Lytechinus pictus: one gene and its partner. The protein of the gene in region 2 interacts with the protein of the main gene of each other region in a biochemical or structural test. Links are inferred from orthologs where the notes say so. Each region holds a gene or a part of one and is shown on either strand. Other genes may lie near its edges. The genes, in order: autophagy-related protein 9A-like and AP-2 complex subunit mu.

What was found.
Region 1: the proteins of AP-2 complex subunit mu (region 2) and autophagy-related protein 9A-like interact in a biophysical measurement, tested with the Homo sapiens proteins (4 studies listed by BioGRID and IntAct, with this or other methods). The link is inferred for Lytechinus pictus from reciprocal best matches to the Homo sapiens genes AP2M1 and ATG9A.

Annotation. Positions count from the first base shown.
Region 1 is NC_087257.1:16,390,603-16,406,919, forward strand, and holds the start of autophagy-related protein 9A-like, read right to left. Parts: upstream 6,801-16,317; 5' UTR 6,665-6,800; intron 1,753-6,664; 5' UTR 1,543-1,752; coding exon 1,440-1,542; intron 779-1,439; coding exon 735-778; intron 242-734; coding exon 177-241; intron 1-176. Other genes in the region: aladin-like, read left to right, coding at 12,468-12,593, 13,219-13,402, 14,419-14,510, 15,806-15,951. UniProt on the Homo sapiens protein: Phospholipid scramblase involved in autophagy by mediating autophagosomal membrane expansion. Cycles between the preautophagosomal structure/phagophore assembly site (PAS) and the cytoplasmic vesicle pool and supplies membrane for the growing autophagosome.
Region 2 is NC_087258.1:28,019,978-28,036,205, forward strand, and holds the start of AP-2 complex subunit mu, read left to right. Parts: upstream 1-9,860; 5' UTR 9,861-9,973; intron 9,974-16,228.

The DNA of each region.
Region 1 (16,317 bases), on a different chromosome or scaffold from region 2:
TCAAGCCATATTCAGCTCATCTCATCTGGTTTACAGTCCTTTTCAGGACTTCACTCACTTTCAAGAAAGAATACTTCTAATTTCCTCTTTTCATCCTATCTCGTCTTTCGATTTCAATCTTTCTGCCTGTATCTCCTTCCCTTCTTGTAAGATATTGCAAACTGAATCATACTTACACGAGTTCCAGGAGTTGGGCGAGCATCATACAAAGGTATCCATTCCTCTGATGATAGTGGTAGACGTGCATAATGTGGTCAAGGAGGAATTTTATCAATGAAAGTCACTCACAAAAATTACTGGAATGAATCAATGAATCAATCAATCAATCAATCAATCAATCAATCAATCAATCAATCAATCAATGAATAAATGAATGAATGAATCTTTATTTCGTTTCAATTCCGATATTAAACACCATCAACAGTAAGTATACTAAGAAATGATACATGTACACACTATAATTGTTAATTTGAGATTTACATACATGTAGTCTTTGGTAGTGATCCCTTTCAAACAAAATAATCGGCCACTAACTTTCATCCCTGACGTTGATTTCTTTCGAACCTTCACCAGTCTATTCTCATTTTCCCCTCTCACACACATCGTTCTAAATTATCAAGGTTAGATCCCCCTTTTACAACAAGATCTTTATTAATATTATACTCCATTTTATATCACGAATACAATCAGCATATCTGCTTAAAGAAAATGAGAAAAATTCTTGCAAAGGATATTCTTGTGAAGAATTCATCTAGATTCTCAATGTGATTCCAGCGTGCTATAATGAAGAAAGACAAAGAGATAATGAGAGTGACGGACTCCAAACAAGGGTTACATACACACTCTAAAAATTATTCACTGATATAAATGAATAGGAATCCGAATATGTGACATGATCACATGAATACAAAATGAGATCATTATATTTCAAATCAATTAACTGCTCTTCTAAATCCCTTTTTTAAATTCAAAACAGCTTCAAGTATTACAAAAGTTACAGTTTACATGCTTACATTTCTTTTATTTCAAAACAGGAAGGGTGCAACTTCAAAAGTTATTTGCAAAGAAGGAAATCATCTACAATGGGTTCTTTTGTACACAGAAAAATGTGTTTACTATGGCCAAACTCTTCGATGCATAAAAATTGCTACTTTTATCTGAAATGGTGGCATCTCTCATCCCTGTACAGTATTTGATCTGTATCATCTGTTTATATTTTTTCACTAATGCGAGCAAAGCTGAAAACTTTGTCTAGAAATCACATTGAACTTAGAAGAAAGAATGTATTATCCGGGCCCTGTGACACAAAGTATAGCAATTGATCATAGGGCTGCTTATTATGCTTGATTAGTACATTGTCCATTATGTGCAATCAAACATACAAATCAATTGTAAGATCAATTGCTAAAGTTTTGTGATACTGGCCCCTGGCAGTGTACCTTTTCCAGAATCATGAACAACATGGAGCATGACGTCCCTATCCTCCGGCGCGTCGTCCTCGACAGTCTCCAACCGTCTATACTCTGTTTGAAGGGCAGCCATCTTGGAGGGATCCCTCTATGGTTCTCTCCTTCCACGCAAGATTCAAGTCTCTCTTCGTTTCTTCTTGCACATTCAGTATCACATACAGGATTCAGTTTATTCAGTTGATGCTGTTGACGAATGCTTGGAGGTGTAGCTTATTATCATCCTGTAGGCTCTACACTGTAGTCTGGACTTGCTCCTCAAAACCTCCGCCTTGCATGTGCAGGTCTGCACAGAAGTAAAAAAAGCAAATTATTTAAATCAAATTTGTTTTCTAAAATCTCAAATTATCGCCAAAGCAAAACTTCATGGTGTGGATAGTAATAAGAGCATCCAAACTATGCTTTGAAATCGTGAAAAGCTACATCTTAACTGTCCAAATCTGTAAGGAAAAAATTTCATTATCAAGACTTAATCAAATTTCAACATACAAAAGATTCAATTAATTTTTACAATTATTGACAAATAGAATTTTAAGAGAATCTAACAGATAGTAGACCTACATGTATTTGTTCATGCAATGTTATGTACAGGTTCCTGGAATAGAACCTACTGTACGTGTAATTTGTCTGAAGTGAGCAAAGTAAGCACTAAGCTACATAGCTGCATAGTCAGTAGACAATTCTGTAGTGTTGATGTCAATGAGCCAATAGACAACAGTACTACTCGGTCGGAGACATCGCATGGTCTCAGTTGACTGTTTTCTACAAGCCTACGTGTAGATGGCAGCATAAACATCCATCCTGAGCAATTGCTCTCAAGGTTCCTTAAAAAAAAATTGGTTTATAGCATTTCGCGAAAAAAAGTAGATCATCTAATATTTTGATAATCGTTTTGTAAAATGAATGACACAGAATGCATAGTCTATAGACAGGCTCAATTTTACCATCTGCTACAATGTAGCTGCGTGCCTGCAGGAAATGGTTTTAACAGGCATAATTAATAGATCATTTTATTCTTCTGTCTTTACTAAAAAAAATGAAGTACAAATCAATCATTAAAAAACAAAAACAAAGTCAAAGGTAAGAATGAAGAAAAACATTTAAGTGAAGCAAGTAAAAATGAATTATCAACCTTCAATTTCAGTCTTGAATCACAACCTTCTGCCATGTCGGCAGTTAAATAAAAATGTTGCATGGTGTCATTGTCAAGACAGTCATCATCATCATGTCTGATCATATCCTATCAAAAACTTAAAAAATCATAGACATACATGTACCGGTAGTCTTGTAGAGTAGAAAGACAAGTCAATTACAGACAATAGTTATCACTTTATTTTACTAGTTTTACTAGTTTAAGTTTTAGGCGCTAGTGTAGTTTCGCACCTCCCCGTTTAATGGTTTTCAAACATGTACAATCTCACCCTAAATAATTCACAACCTAAAATACTTGCATCTGAGCCTCCAAAGTCCAGTAGAAGTTGAATATTTGCCGTTTTGACACTTTTTTTTTACAAAGTTTTACACCTATTGCGGAATCACTCGGTCGCTTGAAGCTCAGCGCTGCACATAAGCAGTCGGTACGCGTACAGTATGTACCACCTAGTGAAGTGCAAAAAGAGCGAGTTTTTTTATGGTATCTTCAAAAAGATTTTTTCCCCTCTTTCAGCTTGCACCAAGTATTACGGTAGTGGTTGTGCAGAGTGGTTAAATCTACGTGTATTCACATTTTTCACATTTCTTATTTCATTCAAAAAATCACACACACGCACACCCCACACACATACCTTCACACAACAAACATCAACCACTCTGCACAACCACTACCGTAATACTTGGTGCAAGCTGAAAGAGGGGAAAAAATCTTTTTGAAGATACCATAGAAAAACTCGCTCTTCTTGCACTTCACTAGGTGGTACGTACTGTACGCGTACCGACTGCTTATGTGCAGCGCTGAGCTTGATCAAGCGACCGAGTGATTCCGAAATAGGTGTAAAACTTTGTAAAAAAGTGTCAAAACGGCAAATATTCAACTTCTACTGGACTTTGGAGGCTCAGATGCAAGTATTTTAGGTTGTGAATTATTTAGGGTGAGATTGTACATGTTTGAAAACCATTAAACGGGGAGGTGCGAAACTACACTAGCGCCAAGTTTTACTTAGTCTCACTCCCACTCTTTACTGAATGACAGCACTGGCAGTGCCTGCACTCCAGTAAAAAGTGCTGACTTTTAATTTTAGACAGCGCAGAGACTGGAGAGTGCTGTCTCAAATTCTCAGACTCAGAGTATTCTCACTTCATTCTCACTCAGCTCAGTCACACTCAAAAGTCTCAAGTCAGACAAAGTCATCTCTCTCTTGAGTCATGTAATATCCTTCCTCCATTCAGGTCGGAGATCGAGCCAGAGCTCGAGTCAGACTCAGAGAGTCAAGAGTCAGAAAGATCAGAGCCAGGCAGAGACACTCACTCACTCAAGTCTCAGCTCACTCATGGGATCAATGCATCTCGCGTGCGAAGGATTCATATGCACATGGTGCACGCGAATTTTTCACACCCTTTTTACTAAAATAACTATGCCATTCCTTTTAAAATAATGTTTCTAATTGTGCTATGACACTTACCGAACCATATGGATCGTTTCTTGTCTTCTCTTTGGTGTGTTTTTAAGAAAAAAAAAGCATTTTCTCGTGATCTTCACGTAGATACCGCAGGGTCATCGTGGTTGTAAACTTTTGCTTAAAGAGGGCGCGCGATATTATTCACAAGATGTTTGTTTACGGTTCTGCAGCTTGTACTGCTAGCTGCATTTTAGACGCTCAGCATTATTTTCCTCTTTCTGTTTTTTTTTTGCTGTCAAGCGGTATTTTCTATTGTAGCGCCATCAGCGATGATGAAATGTAAAGAGTCGCCTTGAAATGAAGAAAAATTATGTCACATTAATTCGTTAGTTTGTTTCCTATTTTTTTGCACTTTTTTCTTCTTCCTCATCTATGATCAAAGGTGAATACTTTTTTTTGATATCTGTTTTAAAAGCTGGACATTTTAAATATTTTGTTCAAGTAAATAAATCAACAGGATAGTAATCAAAATGCGATAGAGCTGCCCGAGCTGAAAATTCTGATACAAGGACTTGAAAATAAAACATTCTGAGCACTTTTTATAACCATGATGAGGAGACCTATATATATATATATATATATATGTATATGAAATAAGCTAACATGAAAAAAAGACGTTTTGGGGACTGTTAAATAAGAATTCACGAGTGGGATAGGTAACTATCTATTCTATTCTTGTTCGTTTTCTATTATTATTTGTGTGTTGTGTTTATTTTTCTTGAAGCACCAAAAGGTGGACATGTCCGCTAAGATATATTAACGAAGTCACCATTATTATCACAAGCTAACGGATCAAAATGCGAGCGTGAAACGTGAGCTTCTTTTTTTCTTAATTCAGTCTTAACGATACTTTTTCATCATATTTTAAAGGTGAATCTCATGATTCAAAATGATAAATGCTTGTCGCACGGGCAGAAATAGCGGGACCAATAGTTATTTTCAATATTCCGAACTGCATTCTGGACGTTGTATAAGCGCCTTTGTATAACAATTAAAAGGGTAGGCCTATTTACCTTACAAATTATGCGAGCGCTGAACTTTTGGACATTTAAACCTCAACAAATGGACATTTTTAAAATATGAACAACATCATAAATGTCGCTTACAAAAATGATGCCAGCGCGAAGCTCACGCTTAGAGTTTTTGATATTGATGACAGGACTGTATCTAAGTGAAAAATAATGCGAGGGCATTTTCGCTTAAGATTTAAATTTGGGATTTGAAAAGTCCGACAGATTACCTATACTTTTAAAAGAGGAATGACCTCCAGAATTCAAGCGCGAAGCGCCAGTAGATTTATGTTGAAGTTTAGACCTACAACAGGAACGTTGAACCTTTATAATCATGAAAAAGATGGTATTTTTATAAATAAAACATGGGAGTCTAATTTTGTTTTAGTGTTAATATTCAGATCTTCAAACTTGACATTTTCCTATCCCCTTCATCATCCCCTCTCCTTCTCCCTTTCCCCATTTTCGTTCTCCCTTCTTTTCTTCTCTCCCTTTCCCTTCCCTTTTTCGCTTTTCCTTTCCCTTCTTTTATTTCCTTTCTCCCTCCCCTACTCTTTTCTCGCTCTTTCCATTTTTCTTTCCCTCTCCCTTCCCCTCTTCCTTTCTTTTGTTTTCTTTCTATTTTATGGTCTCCTTTTCCCTCTCTCTCCTTTACCTTTCCCCCTCCCCTGATCCGTCTTTTCTTGTCTCTCCTTCCCTTTCCCGCCCCCTCCATTCCCTTTCTCGCTTTTTCCTTTCTCTTCTTTTCTTTCCTTTCTCCCTCCCCTACTCTTTTCTCGCTCTTTCCATTTTTCTTTCCCTCTCCCTTCCTCTCTTCCTTTCTTTTGTTTTTTTTGTATTTTATGGTCTCCTTTCCCTCTCTCTCCTTTACCTTTCCCCCTCCCCTGATCTGTCTTTTATTGTCTCTCCTTTCCTTTCCCGCCCCCTCCATTCCCTTTCTTGCTTTTTCCTTTCCCTTCTTTTCTTTCCTTTCTCCCTCCCCTACGACTTGAATCGAGAATGTTCGATAGGAAAATTTCGCATTTCGATTGTTGTTTGCGTAATTTCCACCGCAGTATGAGGATGACCAAGGACGGATCAAACGAAGTATCCTGGTTGAGATTTGGAGGTAAGCGATAAAAACACTTTACTTTAGGCCCTAATAAATAATTTATAATTCCTTTTTCAAATATACTTTAATCATACGATCAAGATTAACATACCGGTACTTTAGTGGACAAATATTGAATTTGAAAGGCTTGGCGTAGTTTAGTCCCTCACATTCGTGTGATGAATGAAAACGTCAAAATGCACTATGTGAAATCACATGTGTTGTGCGAGGTTAGTAATACTAACCTCGCATGTTGTGTGAGTGGTCTCAGCTCAGCTCACTCATCTCATTCTCACTCTCACTTCTCAGACTCAGTCACTGACTCAGTCAGAGACAGAGACAGTCTCAGTCTGAGTCAGACTCAGAGTCAGAGTAGACAGCTCGACAGGGTCAAGTGAATAACAACACTTCGACAAATGATTCAAGAATCAGCTATTCATTGTTATGAATTCAGTCAGAGTACAGAGATGTAGATCTACTTGCCTGTATATTAACGAAATTTACAATAGAAAATCTAGTCTGTTTAATGCACTGTCATTCAGATTGGCGATAAACTTCCCCGATCGACGGTCGATCACCCTTGTTTTTGTTTTGGTCTTCGAGAATAGAATCCTTGCTCAATCTGTAAAATAGTATTATTTTTTTAATATCAAAATGAATTATAAAATATTTGTATGCCTTGAAACTTGATACAAAAACAATTTTATTAAAATAAATTTATATATTCAAATAATTTTCTTGCCCATCTTGAAACATTACACATTAATAATGTGATTACAAATAATAAATAAAATGAACGAGGTGAATTATTTGAAGTTTTAGATTAATTTTTGTTTACTTTCTGAGTACTATTCACATTTTCACGGAAATCCTGTATACAGATTAGTAATCGATCCGTACATTCTTGTTAAAATTTTAAATAAATATAGTCTTTAAACATTTTATGAATATCTTTTTTTATTTTTTAAAAATTATTATAGTTATATTTTTTTTAATACTTGGGATTTTTTATCGAATAATAAAATAAAAAATTATCTAGAAACTAATTGGCACTATGATAGAAATTGTACAATAAAAATTAACGCTAGTAATCAACCTGATATTTCATTTGCCGGCCGTCGGCGGTCAAGTTCAATGCTCTTCTTCGTCGAAAAAACAGGTAGGAATACTTGATGTATACACATTTCCATGGATTTAAGTTCATATTATCAATCGCATAAAATAGACATCCAATAGAAAATTAGGCAGTTGGGGTCGACTTTGTCTTTGGAATAATTCAGTCATTTGCCAAATCATGCTTCAGAAGTTCACACTTCATACTCATAGTTCATGCTTTGCTCAGTCCCATTCGTCTGTTTTGGCGTCGGTCATCTTGGTTTATGCTAGACCAAAACTTTTTTTCAGAAGTTATAGGGAATTTCTGTAACTTTTAAGTAATTTTTATTACGTTTTACTTTTAGGACTTGAAGATCATTTATGTGTTTTTAATGACAAATTAAGAGCTTTCTAAATTTTGTGGTCCAGCTACCACTACACTCCAGGAAGTGTCATGTGTGGGAGCCGAAAGAAAGGAAAAGAATGAAAGAGAGGGCCGAGGGAGAATAGAATCAAGAATGAAAAAAAAGAAAATAATGGAAGGAGAGAAAGAACGACAAGAAAAATGAGAGGAAGGGAGAATTTTGCAGAAAGAAAGAATGAAGATTGATCATTGACATTGTCATTGACATTGATGATTGAAGGAAGTTAAAAAAAGAAGGAAAGTATAGGCCTAATTAAGACTAAGTAAGAGAAAGAAGGAAATAAATTAAAAATGAAAAGAGAGAGAGAGAAAGGATCAGGAAAGAAAACTAGGAAAGATGGGAACTATAGATAGGCCCTAGATGGAACCAAAAAAAGGCAAGCGGCAAGGAATTTGAAGGAAGAAGGATAGAAAATAAAGAAAAAAGAAAGGAAGAGGAAAAAAGTTAAAACTTCAAGCAAACAAAAAAGAATCCAATCATCTAACAAAAATCTCAATGATTTTTGGGTATGAAATTTTATTAATATAAAAATGAAAATAAAAACTAAAATGTTTTACATGTACTAGGCCTATGTAGAAATAAAAAACATGTCAAAGTGAAACATTGTCAAACTTAAAAAATTAGACAAAACATTGTGGCATTTATACACACAGGCATGCATCTCATCCCATTACAAGTTCGCACCCGGGCCGATCACAACAAGACTCAAAACGAAAGCTGAAACAATTGGATCTAGTTAATGAAAACTCAATAACTTGCTCCTCCGATCACATCACCAAATCAGTAATCTGAGAATCCATGACTATAATTATAAAAAATTCCTGCCAATTTTGTGCCAAATTTGGTGGAAAAACTGTTTATCATGTAAGATTGTTTGCACCATTGAGAATCTGCTCCGATCCTACATGCAGGGCTCGACATTAGCAGTGGCCCGGGGCAACCAAAAATGAGAGTCGGGCCACCAAAATTCTGTAAAAGCCAACACTTGGTGGCCCAGTCGGGCTACCAAAGTTTTGATAAATTGTAATGTTTCCTATTGTTTTAGGGCCACCAAATTCACTTTGCGGGCCACCAAAAATATGAAATTGATGATTTTGGTGGACTGATCGGGCCACCAAGAAAAAAAGTTAGTGTGGAGCCTTGCTACATGCCTAGGTAAACAGGCAGGAGGCCAGTGGAAGCACATGCATGCAGCAGCTAGTACATGTATGCTTTGTGTTTGTGTGTAGATCGTAGAAAATATAGATCTACATGTACGTAACTATTAGTTTGCAATGAATTGGGTAGCAAGAAAATCACTGCAGAATTTGCAAAATTTACAATTAACAATTGTATTGTCGTCCCTGATTTGTCATCTGTTGGTTATTAGATGAAAATTCTTCACTTTTCTATGTATTAATTATATTTTGTTCAATATTCTGAAAAAAGGGACAAATAGGCATCCAGGGAAGGGTTTGTCGGGACGACGGGACAAAGGAGCAAAATATGGGACGATCCCAGGAAATACGGGACGTCTGGTCGTCCTGTTTCAGGCCAAAACGGAATAATAATCTTTATTTTGGTCTAGTTCTTTTTATATATTTTTATGAAATAAAGACAAAAATCGATGAGCAACGTCGGGGGGATTTTGCATTGTTAACCCCCTAATGGCGGCTGCACAATCGCAAGCCGTCTGTGTATGAGAAATTTTAAAAAATGTTTAAAAACTCCTCGAAACAGATGGCTGCCAGCTGTCGACATGTAGGTTTGTGCCTGTCCCAGGGCCCAGTTTTTTTTACATTGATCATAATGATTAAAGTGTTTATATGTTTCAATCATGTCACTCCTAACCTTTGATACGCCAGAGTTGGGATTTTTAACTGTTTTAGTCGTTGCGGATAGGAAAGCTTCCTTAAAGGACAAGTCCACTCCAACAAAAAGTTGATTTGAATAAATACGAAAAAAATCCAGCAAGCATAACACTAAAAACTTCATCAAAATCGGATGTAAAATAAGAAAGTTATGACATTTTAAATTTCGCTTAATTTCACAAAACAGTTATATGCACATCCTGGTTGGTATGCAAATGAGGAGACTGATGACGTCATCCACTCACTATTTCTTTTGTATTTCATTACATGAAATATGAAATATTCTACTTTTCTCCTCATTGTCAAGTGGAACAATAATTAATTCCTCCCAAACACGTGGAATTGGCATTGTTTAATACTATATGATTCAGTCAAGTTTGTCCTTATTGTCAAATCTGTAAAAAAATAAATATTGTATAATTCAAACAATAAAAGAACAAAAGAAATAGTGAGTGAGGGACATCATCGTCTGTCTCATTTGCATGTCACTGAGTTGTGCATTAGTGCTGTAGCCGAACCGCCGAACCGAACGGTAGTTCGCCGAACATGGCACTTCCGAACCGAACAGAACCGAACCGAACACTAAGACTTGGTTCGGAAGTTCGGCAAAAAAAACGGCTTTCAGCTAATAAATTTATAAGTTTACACCCTTTCTAATCATTATATTTGCGCATTCTCTATTTAATCTTCTTTGCAATTGTATGCGCTTATTTTGCGGTTACTAGATTTTGTTTTCATTTTCATGTTGACATTGTGGTTTTTACGGCCCTGATAAAGAGAGGAGATCCGATGAACGATGTTGCGCGAGCTTGCGCTATAATAATTTTACTGGCTTTCATCATCTCTCGCTCTGTGGCCGAATCGCCAAAGCATGGTAAAGAAAACCAAAACTGTTTGAGTGTTCATTGGTTAAATCTAATTATCTAAAATATTGTTGTTTTTAGGTGGCGAACAAGATTCTTGTTTGAAAATCTTCAAAGTATTTTGAATGAACGAGCTCAATAAACTGAAAGTGAAAGATGAAGTACCATTAATATTACGAATTACGATACGATGTGATTAAGATCGTAACTCGTTTATTGTTGCGGCGGAGAATAAAGATCTGATTGAGGTGATTTACATTATTATTGAGGTGTCGGCTCGCTACTGTCTAGTTTTCATGATTTTAGAGAGAAGTAAAGAGTTTTGAAAACGAGAGATCCAGTGAAAGTGGGAAATAAAGTGAGTGACTGTTAGAGATGGAAAGGAGAGACGCAAAACAAATAATATAGAAATGAGATGAGGTGAAGTTATCTTTTTTATTATTAACAATCAGATGAAAATAAAAATCAAACACTCATGAATGATAACGGTATAGAATATAGCAAGATCCCCTTCCCCTCGTTGACAAGTTAGATGAAGATAAAGCCATGCGGAAACATTCATCTCTTGGGGGAAAATGACCCCCATTCTTTACTTTTTTTTCCCTTTCTTATCAACTTCTCAAATTAACCATAAACAATTCGATGATCACTCTACTCCCCCTATCCCATTACAGTCGTAAAACTTTGCATCCCACTTGGTCTGTATGTTTATGGTCGAATGAAATCTGACCAATGAAATCATAGAAATCTCGGGAATTGCTCTTCAATCAGTGAGCTGAGTTTCGCGAGCAGACAAAGCACGTGGCTGTATGTACCGATGCGACAATCAGCGACATGCGATTGGTGGTTTAGTTCACCCATCGAGCCAATTAGCGAAAGGCGCATTACATAAGCACGCTTTCTTCGACACGCCCCTGGCCCAACTATGCCTACAGTTCAGTGCACTGGCGCTGGCCGCCTCCTATGTGATGCAATTGCCAATCACGTTTGGACGGACTGTATATATAAATATTCATGAGCTCAGAGTCCCGCTACAAGGGGACTGCATGCGCTGGCATGGCCTAGCTGGTACGAGTGCGAGCGTAGTTAATTTGGCAAGTATCCAAAGTGTGGTCCAGGTATGGACGACTAGGAAGAGTCGCCATTTTAGAACTGTGAGTTACCCAATAAACCTGTCATCAGATAATCAAATTCGAGATAACAGTTGATTCGTTGAGCGCTATAACTTTCATAGTTTCATGTCAACAAGATAGAGATAAAATGGTTTGATGTGACAGAGGTACACGCGAGCACATGCAGTCAATCAAGTACAAATTGCTACCAGTACGCTACGTACCTGAATGAACTATAGCTTTATCAGTCTATCATTACCGAACCCCGAACCGAACCAATGTTCGGCAAATTTCTGCCAAACCTTGCCGAACCGAACCGAACCCGAACATGGCGCCTGACTTGCAGCACTATTGTGCATATCACTGTTTTGTGGAAAAATAAGCGAAACCTTAAAATGTCATAACTTTCTTATTTTACATCTGATTTTGATGAAATTTTTAGCGTTTTGCTAGTTTGATTTTTCTTTACTTATTCACATCCAAAATTTTCTGGGGCTGACTTGACCTTTGATTCAGGGACTATGAATGAATGAATTAATGAATTAATGAAGAAATAAATAAATTACCGGTAATAAATGAATTAATAAATAAATAAATTAATTAATTAATAATGAAATAAATAAATAAAAAGTAGAAACTTGACTGCTTAAAAAAAATGCCAATATCGGACATACATTGTAGATCTACATATGTACTTTCCAAATTTCAGACACATTTAGCGTTACACATCGCTTCCAGCAGTTGAAAAGCTTAATCATGCTCTAATTACATGAATGATTGCATTTTATGCTGAAATAAAAAGTCATCTTTACAATTGCTATGGAAAGTAGTTGCACAATTGATGGGCCAATCGCTCTGCATGGTTTCAATTGTCTTGATGCTAGAAATTAAAAAATCTCACTCTCTTTTGTTTTATTCTTCCTTTCAATTCTTCACAAAGCATGTGCTCCCTTGCTGAAGGACCTCCCCCTCCTGCAGACGGATGTATCACTGTCTGTGAAGAGAACGGAGATTTGGTCACCATTCATGCCAGCAATGCCCCTGTAAATTACACACCAAGGATTGCTGTAAGTTAGAATACTATACAATTATTCAGGAAAGTTGGACGTACACCTACCTGCTTGTTATCTGCATGTTTTCATTTGCCCATTTTATTTCTCATATTTTGGTGGTTGTTCCCCCCCTCTTTTTATATTTATTGGGGTTGGACGGTGAGGGAGATTTTTTTTCTTGATTTTATGTCCTACAGCTAAAGTAACTTATTGATACATGTATGGTCGTAATGCTTTTGTATTATAGCCTAATGAATATAGTCTGTATTTTTTTTTTCATTTTTGTTGTTTTCATTTTATTTGGAAAAGGAAAGTGTATACAAGGAATTATTTTGATTTTTAGATTTTATTAGTTGTTGGTTGTTTGGGAATCAATAATCTATAATCAGTTTCTGTAAAGTCTAATGTAAAAGCAAACATTTTGACTAATCAGTCATCTAAACAATGCATCACATTGCTAGGCGATGCCAGGAAAATTGTTTACAGGTATTCAAAGAAATATTTAGAATTCATCAGTTGAAAAAGAGAAAAAAATAATTTTTAATAAATGATTTCATGACTCCATGAGCATTTACAAGGTGCCATCAATATTTTGTCAAAAAAATGTATTTTTCTAACATATTTTATTATTTTCCCCTAGGGTTTTGAGTACCCTAGCATCAGCACCTCAACCGAGACCCTCTGCTCCCTGGCGACAGATGAGGCAGCCCAGTCTGCCTTTCAACCTCATGTTGATGAAGTATCGCTTTGGAAACAAGCTTGGTACACTTGCCGTGTTCATGGTGTGACAGAGATGCTGGACGAACTCTCTAAAAATGACTCAGGTATCGGTGTGTTTTGAAAAATTTTACTTTTAATTAAATCATTTATATCACAGTTCCTTTGAAGAACATTCTCCAAATGGCCTGGAGGGGTACATGTAGTAGTCCTCTTGGAAGTTTTCCTCTGGGGAATCCATACTCTGGGGAGAGTTGTTCTAAATGGGAGCTTATCATTTCTAACACGAATCCCATCAACTTCTAAGGGCACACTAGGGATTTGTCCTCTTGAGGAGTTGTCTCCTGTGGAACCTTTGCTTTGGGGAGATATATTCTCAAGGGAAGATTTCTCCCGGGGACAGAGTGCCTTGCAATTATTTAAGTTGTGAGTTTGGAATCATGTGTGTGGGAGTCATCATTATAAGATGTATATCAGATACATTTTCATTGATTTAATGGGAATGTGCTGAATAATTTTCGCTTTGAATTAGATTGGCCTTCCAATTTCAACGCAAAGTATCCCTTTTGCAATGCTTAGATTGTATCTACACAGAGATACCAGTCTCCAATGTGGTACCCTATTTCAGGCCCTGACAATTTCCCATGTTAGGCATTTTCAGGCAATATTTCAGTACAGCACTTATGGAAATTCAATGTGTTCTGAGGCCTGTAACACAAAGCTTAGCAATGATCGTAGAAACACTTTCCTGCGATGGATACCATTGACTACAATACACAATCAATCGTGAAAATCAAGCATACAATTAATTGCTAACCTTTTGTGTTACGGGCCCCTGGGGAGCATTTCATGAAAGGATTTGTGGATGTTTTATCCAACAGTTGCTGTAGTAACGGTGCTTCTCTGCCAATCAAAATCAAAGAAGTTGCCGGATCTAGCATCTTGTCGGATGAGAAATGTTGAAGAAATGCTATCCTGGCTTCTTTTCAGGCCTAGTCAGCAAAAACGATTGGCAAATCATTTATTTAGGTACAGAAACTATATATTTTCATTTAAAGACATGGTCCAAGCTTCCATTGATCATTTAACAGAGTTTTTTTACCTCCCATTATTCCTTCACCAGCTCCTTGGCCTATCACTATGCTTGCCTGTGGATGTCGTAATACAGTGACCTGGGCCAATTCATTCAGAGGCTCTCTCTATCCTCATTTGATGGTAAGGTTGTCTTCATGGTAAATTGTCACTTGGTCTATACCCAATTTGTATACTTTCTATTTGGTCTCATCCCGCGTGGTCTAATCCTAGTTCGTTCATAGCCAGTTCGTCTACCAGCCATCAATGTGTTGTGTTGTGTAAAGCCCATTTATCACTTTGTCCACTGAAAGGCACAATTAAAATTTTGTAATGTAAAGATGCCGTTAAAACAGAAATGTGCCCCCCCCCCCCCCATTGAAAGTGAAGACCTTTTTTTTTTTTTTGATTGTCAAATTTTTCCTCGGGAAAATGTGCCCCCCCCCTTTCGAAAAATCCTGGATCCGCCCCTTTTTTACTGTACATGTCTTATCTATGAATTTCCACTTGGTCTAACACCCTAATAGTCAACAAGAATATATACGTACTTCGTATGAACCAAATTTTCATTTGACAAAGTGAAAAATGTGGAAATTAGACCGTCTGGACATGAGACCTATACCTCAGTCACATTTCCCCTACTGTGGCCATACGGCGACTCGAAAACAGCAGTTTTAACATTTTTTTGTACCAGCTACATGTAGGTGGTTTGAATCAAAATGAATAAAATGGCTGTCTTCGACTCGCCGGAGGGGAAATATTACTGAGGTATGAATGACAGTTTAATAGACTAAGTAATGGTTGGACCAAACGGATATTAGACGAAGTAGGTTTAGGCATGATGGCGTTAGATGATCTGAGAATTAAACCATCTACCTGTAGTCGAAGTAGATGCAAAGTTACAAACCATTTGAATTGCTTGGAATAAAGTTTCATTTATTGTAACTCATCACCCAATTCCTTTTTTTTTTCAAACTTGCAAGGGTAATATTCTCAAAGTTGTCAAAGTGTATTCTTGTTTCCTGATAGAATGCACATGATGGAAAATTGTAGTTCATGCTATTAAAATTTGTCAAGGAATAGAAACTTAAAAAGGCCTTCTTATGTAACAACAATATTTGTTAAACGTTTATTGGATGTAGTTTATGTTTGTTTATGTTTACCTGACGCAATTTGATTCAAAGATTATTTAGCATTTACTAATGAGGTAGAGACAACCAGTGAATTTATCTGTGTGTGCATGTGTCTCCCCCCGTCCTTTTTTTTCTTACTCTCTCTCTCTTCTTCCCCACTAATCTCTCCTTCCCTCTCTTCATTTTCCTTCTCTCCTTTCTCACCTCTCCCTTTTTCCTTTCCTCCCAGTGGCTACTCTGTTTATCTCTATCTGTCTATTATCCCTTATGCCCCCACTCTCTCTCTCTCTCTCTCTCTCTCTTTAGCTCTCTCCTGATGAGATGATCAACGAGTTCAGTGCAGCCAAGGACTGGGATGAGAGTGAGATCAGAGCCTTTGCATGGCACCAACACACCAACAAATGTGCTGTAGCCTGGAAAGATAATACTGTTAAAATATTCATATCAGGAAGGTATGTGGTATATCAAAGATGGGCTGGTAAAACCTGGTGGCCCGTATTCTGAAGTCAGGTTTAACTGGGACCACGGTCTAACTCTGTGCTAAAATAACGGGAAGCCAAATGGTTCAAAATATTGTTTACAGTGAATGCTTCTCATGTTTACTGTGCTCCTTACTAATTCTCTAATGGTGAAGACAACTGTCATACTTATCCTTCCCAGGCAGTCAATGTTTTGGGAGTCAAATGAGCTGATACATTGAACCTCAACTGTTATAGATTTATGTAACAACCGGCTTTCCATAGTTAAACCACAACTTAAAACCAGAGTTTAAATTAAACTCGACTTCAGAATACGGGCCTGTGTGTCAAATCTTGCGA
Region 2 (16,228 bases):
GTTCATAAAATATGGACATGGATCTAGTTCATAAGATATGGACATGGATCTAGTTCATAATATATGGACATGGATCTAGTTCATAAAATATGGACATGGATCCATGGATCTAGTTCATAAAATATGGACATGGATCTAGTTCGTAAAATATGGACATGGATCTAGTTCGTAAAATATGGACATGGATCTAGTTCATAAAATATGGACATTAGGGTAATCAAGTATCACTGATCGTCTTGCACAAGTCTTTGGTCACACGATCAAGGTCAAATGTCATTTAGGGTCAGTGAACATAGTATTTTATTATCATGATATTATGAATGGTGTTTTTTTTTTAATGATTATTCTGAAGTCGTTTTCAAAGTCAGCACTTCTGATATATTGAATCGTGTAATGCAGGCGAGACGGCCAGAGGCGCTCTACTTGTTTTTCTTCAAATCATGATATCAGGGGCCGCGGAACCGGGTGGGGGAAGGGGGAGGGGGCTTCAGCCCCCTCCCCCTTTCAAACCAGTGTACAAACACGTAAAATGACCATTAATTCTAATTGGGATTTTTTGTATGGTCATGTTCAATGACGTATTCTTCTTTTCAATATAAGTGCTTTAAAAATCACCACTTTTCATTTAAGTCTATATAAAAAATTCTGGTAAAATATATACAAATTTATTTTTCGCACTTCTCCCCCTATTTAACATAGCTGGAGCTACACAAATTGCGTTTCATCATCACCATCATAATTATTCATCATCAACATCATCATCATCATCATCATCATCATCATCACCATTTTCATCATTATCATCGTCACCCCCACCATCACCATCATCATGCATCATCATGCATCATCATCATGCATCAACATCATCATAATTATCATTATCATCGATCACCATTGCCACAAAAACCAAAATCATCGTCATCATCATCATCATCATCATCAACATCATCATCATCATAATTTTTTTTAAAGGATGTTTTATTGTATTCTCTCAAATCATCTTTTTTTTAGATTTTTAGATTTTAGATTTATTTATTTCCGTTCAAACAAATGATATAATCCAGTGTAAATACATGTTCAAAATAATACATACTCAAAATAATACATACAGTTATTTAACATTTCATAACAAATATTGAAGATAAATTATCTGAACGGAAGGACTTGCCAAGAAAAGTAGAGCTTGTAAAAAAAGGCAAGTCTCTAAACTTAGTTCCAATACTACGTAACATAACCTATATACAAGAGACGGACGGAAAACGAAATTAAAATACATAATCTACAAAATACCAAAATAGAGCGGATAAGCGACAACAAAAAGTGGAAAGTATAATAAGAAAGGATAGGATAATAATTGTAATGGATAACGATAATAATGATAAATTTTTTAATAGAATTTATAAGAGTGGAAAAAGGGAGGCAAAGGAAGGAGAGAGCGAGAAAAGGGTGGTGCAAATAAAGCTGAAAATGGAAGGAGGAACATGGCAGGTACACATGTCATAGGGCACTGTAGTGACATTATTTAGAATATATAATTAGACAAATTTATTGATAATTAAATGTTAGGTTTAAACACGTTTAGTTACAGTTATATATTAGCTTGACTTGTTGGTGTGGAGTATTGACAAATTAGCATCTTTTTAAGTTTGCGCTTGAAAATATTAATGCTTGGTGATTCTTTAAAGTCATTGGGCAGTGAATTCCAATACACTGGTCCAAAAAAGACGAAAGAGTTTTTTGCTGATAGAGTACGGGTTGGGGGTAGATGATAACAATTACGTTGTCTCGTTGGGTAATCGTGTATAGAGGAGTTTTTACAGAACATGTTTGAAAAAATTGTGGGGAGATCCCCTTTACTTAGTTTATATATAAATTGGGCGAGTTGGAAAATATATAAATCATTCACTTTAAGAATATTATTTTGGAAAAAAAGGACATCTGTGTGTGATCTGAAATTAGTTTGAAAAATTATTCTAAGGGCCTTCTTCTGCAACAACAGTATCCTTTGTAATTGTGTTTGGATTGCACAACCCCATGCCAAAATGCCATAATTAATGTATAGTAATATTAATGAATGATATAATGTAAGTAAAGTGTGAGATGGAAGAAAATATTTGAGTTTGTTAATAATTCCGATGTTTCTTGAAATTGTTTTGTATATATTATCAATGTGTGGTTTCCATGATAGCTTATTGTCAATAGTAACACCCAAGAATCTGGTCTGTGATACATTTTCAAGAACGGTGTTATCAAAAATGAGATTGTCAGGTAATGCATGTGTTTTATTACTAAAAAGCATATAATTCGTCTTTTGCAGGTTAAGTGACAGTTTATTCGCCTTAATCCAGTCAGTTACATGTATGAGTTCAGAGTTTACAATAATATTCTTACAAGTTGATTTGCGTTATCATGAGAAAAGAAAATATTCGAGTCGTCTGCAAACATATGAATGTTAGTAAATTTGAACTTTTTTTAATGTCATTGATATAAGTAATAAAAAGAAGAGGGCCAAGTAAGCTACCCTGAGGTACTCCGCATGTGATAGGACAACCGCGTAGCCAGGATTTCATTTTGGAGGGGGCGGTAAATGCACGCGAAGCGTGCGAACACTTACAGAGCGCGCGAAGCGCGCTCCCTAGGGGGTGGGTGCAGGGAGGGGGAGTTTCCCCCTCCCGCGCGAAGCGCGAAGCTTTCGGTGTTTCATAAATTAAAATGAAAAGGAGCCGTTTCTCTTGTCTCTAGTATCCATCTATATCAGCCCCAATTCAGTTGACTATATCGTGATTTTGAACCTTGTTTTCAAAAGTAATTGTGAACGCACAAAAAAGGGATAAAATGGAGGAAATTTAAATAATATTGAACCCGCGCGAAGTGCGGAAGCTAAAGCGTTTTATCATTTTTTTTTTAAAGAAAAGGGTCCCGAGAAAAGGGTATTCTCTAAGTTATCAGTAATGAATACTTCCCTTGGAAAGATCAGATTTGATTACAAACAATTTAGCGACAGTGCATATCTTTAACTCGAAAAACAGAGAAGAAGGATGTATGCCGGGAGGAAGATATTCCTCCCCGCGCAGAGCAATGAAACTCTGAAATTTCAAAGCTAGGGCGGACGTTTCGTCAATTGTTTTCCCTCTAAGATTATTGAACTTCATTAAAAGGAAAATGGTGCGCAAAAAGTTGAAACTTTTGTGATTTATTGAAATTGTATAAAACAGGATGATGTATAATTTATTTGACTTAAATATCCTGATGCGCTTCATTTTGAATGATAAAGAAATTTAAGTGTCATTCAAAACTGAGGGCGCAAAACAAGACAGGAGATGAATGTGTAGGAAATGACATGAAGTTTAGTAGAATTTGATAAAAAAATATTGTACTTTTTTATATTTAATACGACACGAATTTTATACCTTCCTCTTTTTAAATTAGGAACCTGTTTGCCCCCAATTATGGTTGTATAGTAATGAGCTGAAAATCGGGAGAAGTTGCCTATATGGAGGTGACGGCAGAAATTGATATAAAGATTATACTCGCCCGGAGCCGACCCAACTTGCGCGACCAATTAAAAAAAGATAACTTCATGTACTTCGGTCTATCCTTACTCTAATTTCATGCCCTAAAGTACCGTAAGGGCACTAGTATTCAACCCGTTTGGAGAGTTTCCTCAAATATATAGAAATATAGAATTTACCTGAATTTCAGACCCGTCTTATTTCCAAGAGCAAATGCTGGTTATTCTTTTTCCGTTATTTTTTTCTTCAACCAGTTGACTGTGTGCGCGGGCGATCGAATTATACGGCGACGGATTTTGGTACTAGTATTCAACCCGTCGGCACTAGTATTCAACCTAGCGATGAAAGATGGCCTTGTCTCTCAATCTGCCCTTGTCCCATCCGACTATGAACTAGACCATTTGAGATGAGACCAAACAGGGATTGGGAATTAATCAAAGCCAGAGACTTACATAGTTCTAGATCTAATTTAGCAATTTAAACCTTTTTGAGATTTGCTATCAATCCTCACTAGGTTGAATACTAGTACCATTCAGTGCAAAAGGCCATCGCCGCATAATTCGATCCTCCGCGCATACAGTCGACAGATTGACAAAGAAAATATCGACAACAGATTACCCTGGAAATAATAAAGGTGTGAAATTAAGATAAATTCCCTATTTCTAAATATTTTGGGGAATATGTCAAAATCTTTGAATTATGCCGGGTTGAATACTAGTACCCATACGGTATATATTTGAACTTTAACTGGCAAGAAACACATATAGCTGAGATGGAAAAACAGGGTTAGAGAAAGGGTGAGGGAAACAAAGGAGAACTGCAATATTGTCATTTAACCGCGCGCAGCGCGGAAGCAAAATTCATATATATAGATTTAGAGCAAGAGTGAAGGAGTTTCTGTTTTGAGAAAAAAATAAAGATTAAAAGGAAAAACCCACAAAGCTACCTTTCTTTCCTTTCCTTCCTTCGCTTTTCCTTTTTCTCCTCTCTTTTTTCCCTTCTTTTTTTTTCTTTTTGGGGACGTTTTGGGGGGGGGCGACCGCCCCCACCGCCCCCCCCCTGGCTACGCGCCTGTGATAGGAAGAGTAGAAGAAATAACGTTGTTAAATGATACGAATTGAGACCTATCTGTTAGGTAACTCCTGAACCACTCCAAGGCCTTCCCCCTAATACCATAAAAGGAAAGTTTATAAAGAAGTATTTCGTGGTTAATGGTATCGAAGGCCTTGGAGAAGTCCAGGAAAATACCAACAGTATGAAAACCTTTATCTATGGAAGTAGTGATTTTATCAATAAAAGACAGAATTGCAAGTAAAGTGCTATGATTTTCGCGAAACCCAAATTGTGAAAAGATATTATGTTTATTAAAGAACTTACTTGTACGTGTATGTATAAGTTTTTCGAGAATTTTAGATAATGAGGCAAGTAATGAAATACACATTCACATTCCATAAGCAAGTTTTACACATTATTTGAAACATGATTATCAATTATACAATAAATCCATAACCCATATAATTATACAAATTATACATCAAACTTCACAGCAAAAACTGTGGTGTTAACCGGTGTACATAGAGGACCACACCACTTTATTTTACACCGGTGTTAAATTGACGGTGTTATTTTAACACCCATAGGTGTTATTACAACACCTTGGGATGTTACATTTACACTCTTTGGTGTCATGTTCAATCTCTAGGGTGTAATTTTAACACCTCAGGGTGTGGTCCTCTATTAACACCAACTGGTGTCAGTTTTAACACCACAGTTTTTACAGTGTTCAAAGATACCGGAAATTAATACTGATGCGTTTCAGCAATTACAAAATGAAATATTAACAAGATGTATTAAATGACAAGAGAAAAAAATGATTAAAAAAGATTTATTCTACCTCCCACCCCCCCCCCCCCCGTCCCCAGGTAAGGAGCGCCCTCCACTTTATGCCTACTCTACATGGAAGGGACTCCAATTCTCCGTATTGTTCTTGTTTTTTTCTGTGTTTTTGTGGTCTTGTCTCTCGCTGTTTATATACCTCTGCCTCACTCTCCCTATATATTCCTTTAATTTAGATTTTCCCATTTCCTTAAATGTAGAGACATCTTGCCTCTACCTAAAGCCAGCCTTCTTTCTTCCCATTCCTCTTCTTTAAATTTCCTTTTAATTTCATAATTTTTTTTAAAGGATGTTTTATTGTATTCTCTCAAATCAAAATAAACATTCACATTCCATAAGCAAGTTGTACAAACTATTTGAAACATGATTATAAATTATACAATAAATCCATAACAATATAATTATACAAATTATACATCAAACTTCAAAGATACTAGAAATTAATACTAATGCGTTTCAGCAATTACAAAATGAAATATTAACAAGATGTATGAATGATAAGAGAGAAAAAAAATATAAAAAGTGTTGTTCTACCTCCCAACCCCCCCCCCCCCTGTCCCCAGGTTAGGAGCACCCTCCCCCCTTTTTTTATGCCTATACTCTACATGGAAGGGACTACAATTCTCCGTATTTATTTATTTTTTTGTATTTTTTTTTGTGGTTTTGTCTCTCGTTGTATATATACCTTTGCCTCACTCTCCCTATATATTCTTTTAATTCAGATTTTCCCATTTCCTTAAATGTAGAAACATCTTACCTCTACCTATCATTATCATTGATCACCAGCGCCACAACAACCAAAATAATGTCTTCTGTGTGGGATGGGAAGGTCTGAGATGATACTGGCTTTCCTATTTTTTTTTTTTTTTTGCAGCAATGTTTTTCGCCAAGTTTTCTCAAAATCGGTCATGCCAATTTTATTGAATGTCATGCCATATTTAAAGGTCAAGTCCATCCCAACAAAATGTTGATTTGAATAAATAGATAAAAATCAAACTAGCATAACACTGAAAATTTCATCAAAATCGGATGTAAAATAAGAAAGTTATGGCATTTTAAAGTTTCGCTTATTTTTTTTACAAAACAGTGATATGCACAACTCAGTGACATGCAAATGAGACAGTCGATGATGTCCATCACTCACTATTTCTTTTTTTTTTTATTGTTTGAATTATACAATATTTCATTTTTTTACAGATTTTACCATAGGGACCGACTTAACTGAATCATATATTATTAAACAATGCTAATTCCACATGTTCAGGGAGGAATTAATCACTGTTTCACTTGACAATGAGGAGAAAATTAGAATATTTCATATTTCTTATAATAAAATACAAAAGAAATAGTGAGTGGATGATGTCATCAGTCTCCTCATTTGCATACCAACCAGGATGTGCATATAACTGTTTTATGAAATTAAGCGAAACTTTAAACGTCATAACTTTCTTATTTTACATCCGATTTTGATCAGTTGATGAAATTTTCAGTGTTATGCTTGTTGGATTTTTCTCTTTTTATTCAAATCAAGTTTTTGTAGGAGTGGACTTGTTCTTTAAGTCCTCACAAATTTCCTTGATTGGCTATAGAATCGCTGTTACTGTGATAAACCAGTCCTTCAATTAAATGCTGCCCAGGCTATCATAGACACGCGATAGTAAGCTTTTCAAGGTCATCAGGCCTCATGATGACGTCATATAGGCGCCATTTTGTAACATTATTTAAAATTTATCATATCATCATAATGGATCATTAATAATCTATCATATTTACAAAAATAAACTTTAGGCCAAGGGTCAACTATACATGTCATCAAAGGTCATGACGCGCGCATCGAAATTTAAAAATGCTAAAAATCGACTATTATTAATTTTGAGTACGTTTTAGGCATTTCAAAATTTTGCGCGCGCATTTTCGTACGTCACGGCATTACGTAACATATAATCATTAATCATTAATGCATTAATGATTTAATTCCAAGCAATTTTATACCTCAATCAACTCTCTACGACCACTAATAAAGGAATGAGCACCCATTAAAGTTTGCAGCACGCGTGCGCGCGAGCTCTAACCTCTAACCATAGGCCATATGGCCAAAAACATGCTTTTTGAAAATTCACTGTATATATTTCTTCAAAACAAATGGGGACCCTTTTTTCTATTTTGATGGAGTATAAATCACAGATATGATTTCATGTCTCATTCGATCATCAATTATATCATGACGTCATAAAAATGACGTCAGTACTAAAAATTTCAATTTTGCGTGTTATGACGTCATCATAATTATGCAAATATGACTCTAACTCTGTAAATATTGGTCAGTTTTCGCCAAATCTTCGATATGATGTAGCTGAGGGATTACTCTTTCTGAAATATTGTCTTTATTTTTCATTTTTATTAAGGCCCCCATTCCACAGAAAGGGGACCTTTGAAAGACCTTTGGAATGGCTCAGAAAGACCCCTCAAAGAACTCCTAAAAACTGATTGGTACTTCTTGTCTTATTGGGCTTTGACTAGTCCTATAGATCGAGATATTTTAATGGTCTTTCAGAGATCTTTTATGCAGTGATCTTTCAGAATTCTTTCCATGGACTTTGCCTGGTCTTTCAATGATCTCTCATGAGTCTTACGGTGATCTCCGCAAAAATCTTGAGAGACTGTCGAAAGATCATGGAAAGACTAATAAGAACTTTGAAAGTTCATCGCAGTCGACGGTGAGGTACCTTGTCAAAGGCCTTCATAAAATCTAAATAAATTACATTTTGAAAGACCATCAAAAGACGAATTTCCTGTAAGACAGCTGAAAGACTAACTGTACCGTTTCAAAAAGTTTTGGAGCTCATAGTGAGTTTTGGAGCTTATTGCCTGGTCGTTCTACTATGCTTCATGCAGTTGCTTAATGTTGTTGATGAGTGGTCTCAAGCTCTTGAAGAAAGGGGTACAATATCGATGTGATTTATTTAGATTTTATGAAGGCCTTTGACAAGGTACCTCACCGTCGACTGCTTGAAAAGGTCCGTAGTTTTGGTATAAATGAACAGGTGGTTAGATGGATTGAGGCATTTCTTGTTGGAAGGAGACAGAGAGTGTGTGTGAATGGCGAGTTCTCAAGTTGGGGACATGTAGATAGCGGAATTCCGCAAGGGAGTGTCCTTGGACCTGTGTTATTTTTTTTTATATATCAATGATCTCCCAGATGTTGTTACTGGAAGTAATGTAATTCAGTAATAAGAGTGTAACAAGTATATAAGAGATCAGAATGACATGCAATTCACTCCAGAGAGATCTTGATCATCTGAAATGCTGGTCAGAAAAATGGCTGCTGAAATTCAACCCCAAGAAATGTAGTGTACTCTCTATTGGTAACACGCAGGACCGACAGGAAGCTTTTGTATACACTTTTTTTAATGATGCGCTTGAACATGTAACCCCCGAAAGGGACTTAATTGGATGTTGTAATTGATGATAAACTCAGCTTTGAAGAGCACATGCAATCGAATATAGAAAAGGCCAACAGGCTATTGGGTTTGATCAGACGAACTTTTGTTTATCTAGACAAAAATAACTTTTAGGCCAACAGCATGGAAATTTTTGGTAAAAAGCTGATTTTTTCAGGATAGGTCCGGGAATATGTCTATATAGAATACCATACTAAAAGTCCTCATAAATCCTCCTTGAGGGTTTTCCGTAATCCAAGATGGTGTCCAAAATGGCCGCCATTCACAGAAAATTGACATAATTCACTCACTATCCACACTAGACATCCAATTTCGGTGCATATTTCATGTTCTAAAGGGATAAAAAGATCTATTGATATACAGGTTAGAGTGAATATATAGGCAGACCAGGGAAGATGGCGTCCAAAATGGCTGCCATAGCCTAAAAATTAAAAAAATTATCAATTTCTTACTTTAATGACTTTACTTTCGTGGGGTAGGAACATGGCATAAAAAATATGGGGAAGTGTATTATTATTATATACATGAAGTGCCCTAACTGTAGTAAATGCAGGTCTTTGACTTTCAACAGTTTACTTTCTAGAAAAAGTGGGTCCCTATGAGAACGGAAAGCTGTACTGTAAATAATACGAAGTGCTTTCTTTTGCAAAAGTAACAATTTATCTGATAAATATTGATGGGTACCCCAAATAAGAATCCTGTAGTTTAAATAAGGCAAAATTAAGGATGAGTAAAGCATGATTAATGTAAGTGATAATGGGGTGATAATGTTAGTGATAATGATAATGATGGTGATGATTATGATTATAGAGATATTTATTCGAAATTACTTAGCTCTATGGAGAATGATGACAGACCACCTAATTCGTCCTCATGACGAATTAAAATCTATTTTTATTTTTATTTTTTCTTTATGAATAAAAGAAATATCTGCTCATATCATTATTCTTTGAGGAGCCAATGTACCTACGATGATCGTTCTTTTAGCGCCATCTATGACCATTTTATGTCAACTGCATGATCCGCCCAACTGTACTTCCGCTGCCTTAATTGCATGCATTATACAGGAATTGATACAGAGCCGGGCCGTGTGAAGGTAGAAAGGTGGGTGTGTTCTTCTTTTAAAACACAATTTTGACTTATTTATATTTATTTTCTTGTTTAGTGAAACGTATCCCAACATTCCTGTTAATGTATGATATGTATTAAAGTGTGTTATTTGGAAAAGAATTTGCTGAATTTACAATTGAGTAACTTTCTGTTCTCTGTACCGTGCCCGTCCGCATAATTCTGGCACTGTCTGTGGCAGAATGAATACCGTACGCGGAAGAATTGTAATGTGTATTTCAGGGTAGTTGAATCATATTTGGATCTGGGGCCTGTTGCATGACGAGATGAGCGATACGTAGGAACGTCCTAGGACCATTCTCCCAAGATAGGAAGATTGGCGACAAATCAGCGCTTGCCGTTTCACGAAGGCAATTTTGTCTTTCAAGTCCGCGACATCGTTTGATATCGATAGTATCGGAAAAATATTTAGTCTTCATCGTCACCTGAACCTTTTATTTCGGAATGACGACTTTTTATAAAATCATATATTTCAATAAAAGGGGATCAATAATGTTTTATTTATTACTGATTGTAGAATTGATGTATGGAGCGTACTTTAATCTTTATGGGGTAAAAAGAGAAAAAACTTTCAAGATTCACAAACATAACTGGATAAAATCGAAATTTTCATTATTTCCCTTATGTAGAACACGGTGTCCTTTTAGAGACACCTTTCGTTGATATTTCAACGAAAGAGACCCTTGTCCGACCTAAAAATTTATTTAACTAAGTAATTTCGACATTTTATTAGTTCAATATAGGCCTAGGCCTACTGATTCTTTATAGAATACCGGTAGTACGGTACATATTATGTATAATGATGATTTTGCAAATTATGCGTTAATATGTTATCCGTTGAGGTAAAAATAGGGTTTGAATGGAGTAAACAAAATCAACAGTGTCTGATTGTATGAGACTAAAAAGAAAAATATGAGAGGCTGCCTGTGGCTGTGAAAAATCTAATTTATTTATTTTATTTGTCAGATATAACGCAAGAAATACAAATGTGAGTGTTTAGAGTATAAACATACCTCGGTTGCATGATGAGTAACCGAAGACAAGGAAAATATGAAAATTGCTGCAAACATGTCCAAGTGCATGGAGTGCTTTGCAATAACAATTAAAACATAGAAAAGGTGTGCAATCTGCAATGGAAAAAATACTATTTACAGAAATAATGCTAAATATTACAATGATCATAAACGTTGGTCATCTTTAAAGTTGATATTTCAAAGTTTATGGAAGCTTATATAAGAATATAAGGTTTAACTATAAAAATTTTATATGTTCAACATTTCAAAGTTGAGGAGTAGAGTCTACATTATTGCTTTAACATTACATAGGGGCCGAAAGGGCCTACCCTACGATTTAAAAAGTGCCTCTTCGTATGGACTTTCCATAATCTTTTCTTTAATGAACTAGCTTATCTTCATTTGTAATAATTGTGATGGACTCGTAAGCTAAATGCCTAATCTGTATCTTAAATTCAATTAGCTATTTTGTTACTGCTGATTTTTTGCTTTGTTTCACTGTTTCACAGTCAAGTTAGCCCAAATCCGACAATTAATTTTCATTGATTAGAATTAATCTCAGCAAAAAATATTATTATAATGAAAATGAAATAAAAATAAATGAATGATTTACCATGTTTAACATTTTAGTTTTGTATCGTTTTTTTTTTGCTGAATGTTATGAACACGTTTTTTTTACCTTACATAATTTCTTTTGTTTTCATGTTGTTTAATTATCTATAATGAGAAAGCATGAGGGGTCAGAGAGATAGTGCCGCCCATTTCGATATTTCAAAAAAAAATTTAATGGAAATGGTGTGGGGATATAGGACGGAGAATAAAAGAAAACATATTAAAAAAAATATTTGGGCCTACATTACCCCGGACATAATGCCCGGAGAAGTTAAAATGACATCTGTTTTTGGTCATCTTGCCGTGCAAAAAGACGACCTGAAATCGATGACAACTAGCCCCCATATAAAAAATAACTTGGCACCATCCCAGATAAAATGCATCAGTGTGCAACCCCAAAAAATGTTTAAAGGTGATATGTCAGTGTGGGTTGCCGTAAACGAATTTTCTCTCAATGCCGACGGTGGCGGGCGGTGTGCAAAGAAGATCATGCCTACGTAGGACATGTCTGGAGGTGTCTTTCCAAGGACCATTCTTCGTATCGCCCAAATCGGCTTTGTGAAACAGTTGAGCGATATCTCGTTCTTACGTAGAATGGTTCTACGAAAGACCCTTTCATGTAACAGGCCCCTGGATTACGATGCAGTGCGAAATGCGTATTTTCCCCCCTACTTACAACAAGGGCTAACTCTGTTTTTAGAATTAGCCAGAAGGCTCCTAGAGACTAGAGAGTAAAAATTATTCACTAACGTGTGCATACTTCGCCTGAGCTGGAGCAGTGGAGGCTGGAGGCCAAGTTCTGGAGAGTAAAAAAGTATCTAGGCCTACTGTACGTAGGCTTACATGTACTCTCCATGAAGCCTGGTTCGGTTCACTCACACTAATACGAGGTTAGTATATACACTAACCTCGTACAAGGGACCGTGTTTGACCCTAGATTTCGAAGTAGTCGGCAAACATCACTTCATTGCTGAAGTAATATTTGCCGAAACTCCTTCTCGCTACGCACCGGGGCTCTTTTCGGTAAGTAGCAATACATAAAAAAATTATACATACGATTTGGAAATAATTTCATTACAAAAAGAGCAAATTTCGCTTATCTCGGCCTAGCAAGTGACTTCGTTTGTCTCTTCTACGGAAATACAAGGAAGCCCGTTGGTGGCGCTAATAAATTTCACAACCTTGATTCAGCTCCTTGGTAATTTTATAACTGTGTCTAAATTCTTTGGATGCGCAATTCTTATGATTAATTTACTAATTATGGGCACCAATAAATGAAATACCTTCAAAAACATAATTCAAGATTACTAATGGCGATGATAACACTTTTTGCAATTAATTTACAACGATGACTAATAAAAAAAATTGAAAAAAATACACATGCCTGGAACGAAACCAGCAGTACAAGCTTTAACGAACGTCAATAATACGGTATACCAAAGTCTATACAATGAAAAGATTGGACACTTCACGGACTTCGCGTAATGCCTTGCGTAGATTTGCGTGTAAAATAGTGTAGGTGCCTAGTCTTTCCCTTGTCGTGTCTTTGATATGAATATAAATCGCGCGCCCTCTTTAGGCGAAAATTGATATCCACGCTGACCAATTTGTATCTCCGTGAAATCTTCACTAAAGATCAAGAAAACATACACATTTTTTAAAAGAAACTTCAAGGAGAAGTCACGGAAGGATCTAAATGATTCGGTAAGTGTCATAGCAGAATGTGAAATACCAGATTATGCGTGATATTTTATGTGGGCAAAAGCCCAGTATATTTTGGATGTGTCGTGTGTGTCGCGTGCATATGACTGATATTCCTTCGCATGCGAGATGATATGAACCCATGGGTGGGTTCGGTTAGCCATTGGTCTCTACACACCGTAGGTTTTCCCATGGTGAAACTAGACCTAAATCACACGTTTTGCTTTGGATTTTGAGCCCAAACTAACGTACATGGGCCAAAACAATATTTACCCCCCAAATTTAATATGTTTGTATATTTTATTCAATAGATAGTAGTAAATATGAAAAATAATTAAGAGCACGAGCGTTGACTTATCCAGTCTTTTTTTGTCGCCATCTTGATGTCTTTGTTATCGATACCTAGAAACCACACGCGTGTATACATGTAGCTGCCAATTTAAATTAAAAAATAAATTGCATCGGCCGATAAATATCATGAATCGTGAAATACTTGCATCGGTCGAATAATATCATAAAAATGAAAAGATGGGGAAAACTTGCCACGATGTTTACGTCGCCATCTGGTTTTCTTTGTTTTTCGCCAAGGCTACAGCACGCATATCGGGATATGCAGTGTGTGTTGTGAGGTTTTTACAGATGTATTTCAATGAGAGATGATTATTAAAGGACAAGTCCACCCCAACAAAACGTTGATTTGAATAAAAGAAAAATCAAACAAGCATAATGCTGAAAATTTCATCAAAATTAGATGTAAAATAAGAAAGTTATGACATTTTCAAGTTTCGCTTAATTCATTAAAAAAAATATATTCACATCCTGGTCGGTATGCAAATGAGGGGACTGATGACGTTACCCACTTACTATTATGTATTTTATTATATGAAATATGATATATAAGAGTCCCATATGCACTCCCCACTAAAATTGGAAATAAAAACATGGATAAGGTTTAGAATAATATATGTAGCCCTATTATAGAACATATATGATGGGGGAGTGGAAATACATACCAAAATATGGCTTTATTCTGTCAAATTTGACAGAATGTCCATAGACATTGGTTTATTTAGTCAGTAAAGGGTCTGTGAGTCCAGACTAATTGAACTATCGGCTGATAATTGTTAAAATTCCCATTCCGGTATCAGCGCTTCTCGCTAGCAAAGTGGGAAGAGGTCTTGACTGCAGATTAAATGAGGTGAGTTCGAGTCCCAACTAAGGTAAGCAACATTTAAAAAATGATAGAAAAATCTGAAGTGAACAAATCGGAAGTCTTGTTATTTTTGGTGGGGGGTGCATATGAAACTTTTTCCAATATTCTTATTTGCTCCTCATTGTCCTGTAAAACAGTTTTCTCCTCACTGAACATGTGGAATTACCATTGTTTTAGCATTTTATGGTTCAGTCAAGTTGGTCCTTATTGTCGAATCTATAAAAAATGAAATTTTGTATAATTCAAACAAAAAACAAAAGAAATAATGAGGGACATCATCACCTCTCATTTGCATATCACTGTGATGTGCATATACACGTAACCATTTTGTGAAACTTTAAAATATAATAATTTTTTATTTTACATCCGATTATGATGAAATTTTCAGCATTATGCTTGTTTGATTTTTCTCTATTGATTCTAATAAAAAAAAATTGGGTGTGGACTTGACTTTTAGGGACTATTTTTTATGAATTCACAAAGAGCATACATATCTCACCATAGCCATCTAATGAGAGCGCCAAGCGCTTGCTGATATTTTTAGAATTACACCACGCATGAAGCACTGGGACCGACCTGGCTTTGTTTCACCATCTGATAGACATGACAAGGGCTCAAAACTCTCCATCAGTTTGTATCTTCCATATGTATCTTGGGCTACAGGCGCACGCCACAATGCCAAGAGATCACAGTGGTGTTGTAATCTTTTTAGTTTTCCTTTTGAGTCTTTTATATTTATCTTGGTGTATTTTGGAATGCAGCCTTAGTTATAAAATGTTGGTTGAGAGAAGGCAGAGTAGTCCTTGCCTTTCATCTTTATGACTTCACCAATACGGCATATTTGAAGTCTCCATAGGTATAGCGCTTAAAGGGATGGTCCGGGCTGAAAGTATTTATAGCTTAATAAATAGAGTAGAATTCACTAAGCAAAATGCCAAAAATTTCATCAAAATCGGATAACAAATAACAAAGTTATTGAATTTTAAAGTTTAGCAATATTTTATGAAAACAGTCGTCATGAATATTCATTAGGTGGGCTGATGATGTCACATCCCCACTTGTTCTTTTGTATTTTATTATATGAAAATAGGTTTATTCAATTTTTTCCTCCAAGAACAAGAAAAATTTGATTGACAACTGATTTAGTGCATTAGATATTTATTGCTTCAACTTATTTTATTATAAGGGAGAAATATTATTCACACAAGTATGAAATAATGAAAAAAATATGATTTTATGTAATAACATAAGAAAACGGAAAGTGGGGATGTGACATCATCAGCCCACCTAATGAATATTCATGACGACTGTTTTCACAAAATATTGCTAAATTTTAAACTTTAATAACTTTATTATTTGTTATCCGATTTTGATGAAATTGTTGGCATTTTGCTCAGTGAATTCTACTCTATGTATTAAAATATAAATATTTTCAGCCCGGACCATCCCTTTAACAATTTTTACAACTTGTAAAAATTCTTAACTTATTGTTTGTTAGATATTGTTCAAACTTTCACCTTCTTGTATCTACTTGTCTGATATTCTGTCTCTCTAAAAACAACTTTACGGGGCTCCATATAAGAATGAATGGATGGCTCAGTTGCAAATACATTATCTTTTGTATTTTGTTGAATTTTTATCTGTTCTTGAGAGTGGATTAAGTTTATTTTCTTGTCTTTCTGTTTGTGTCCA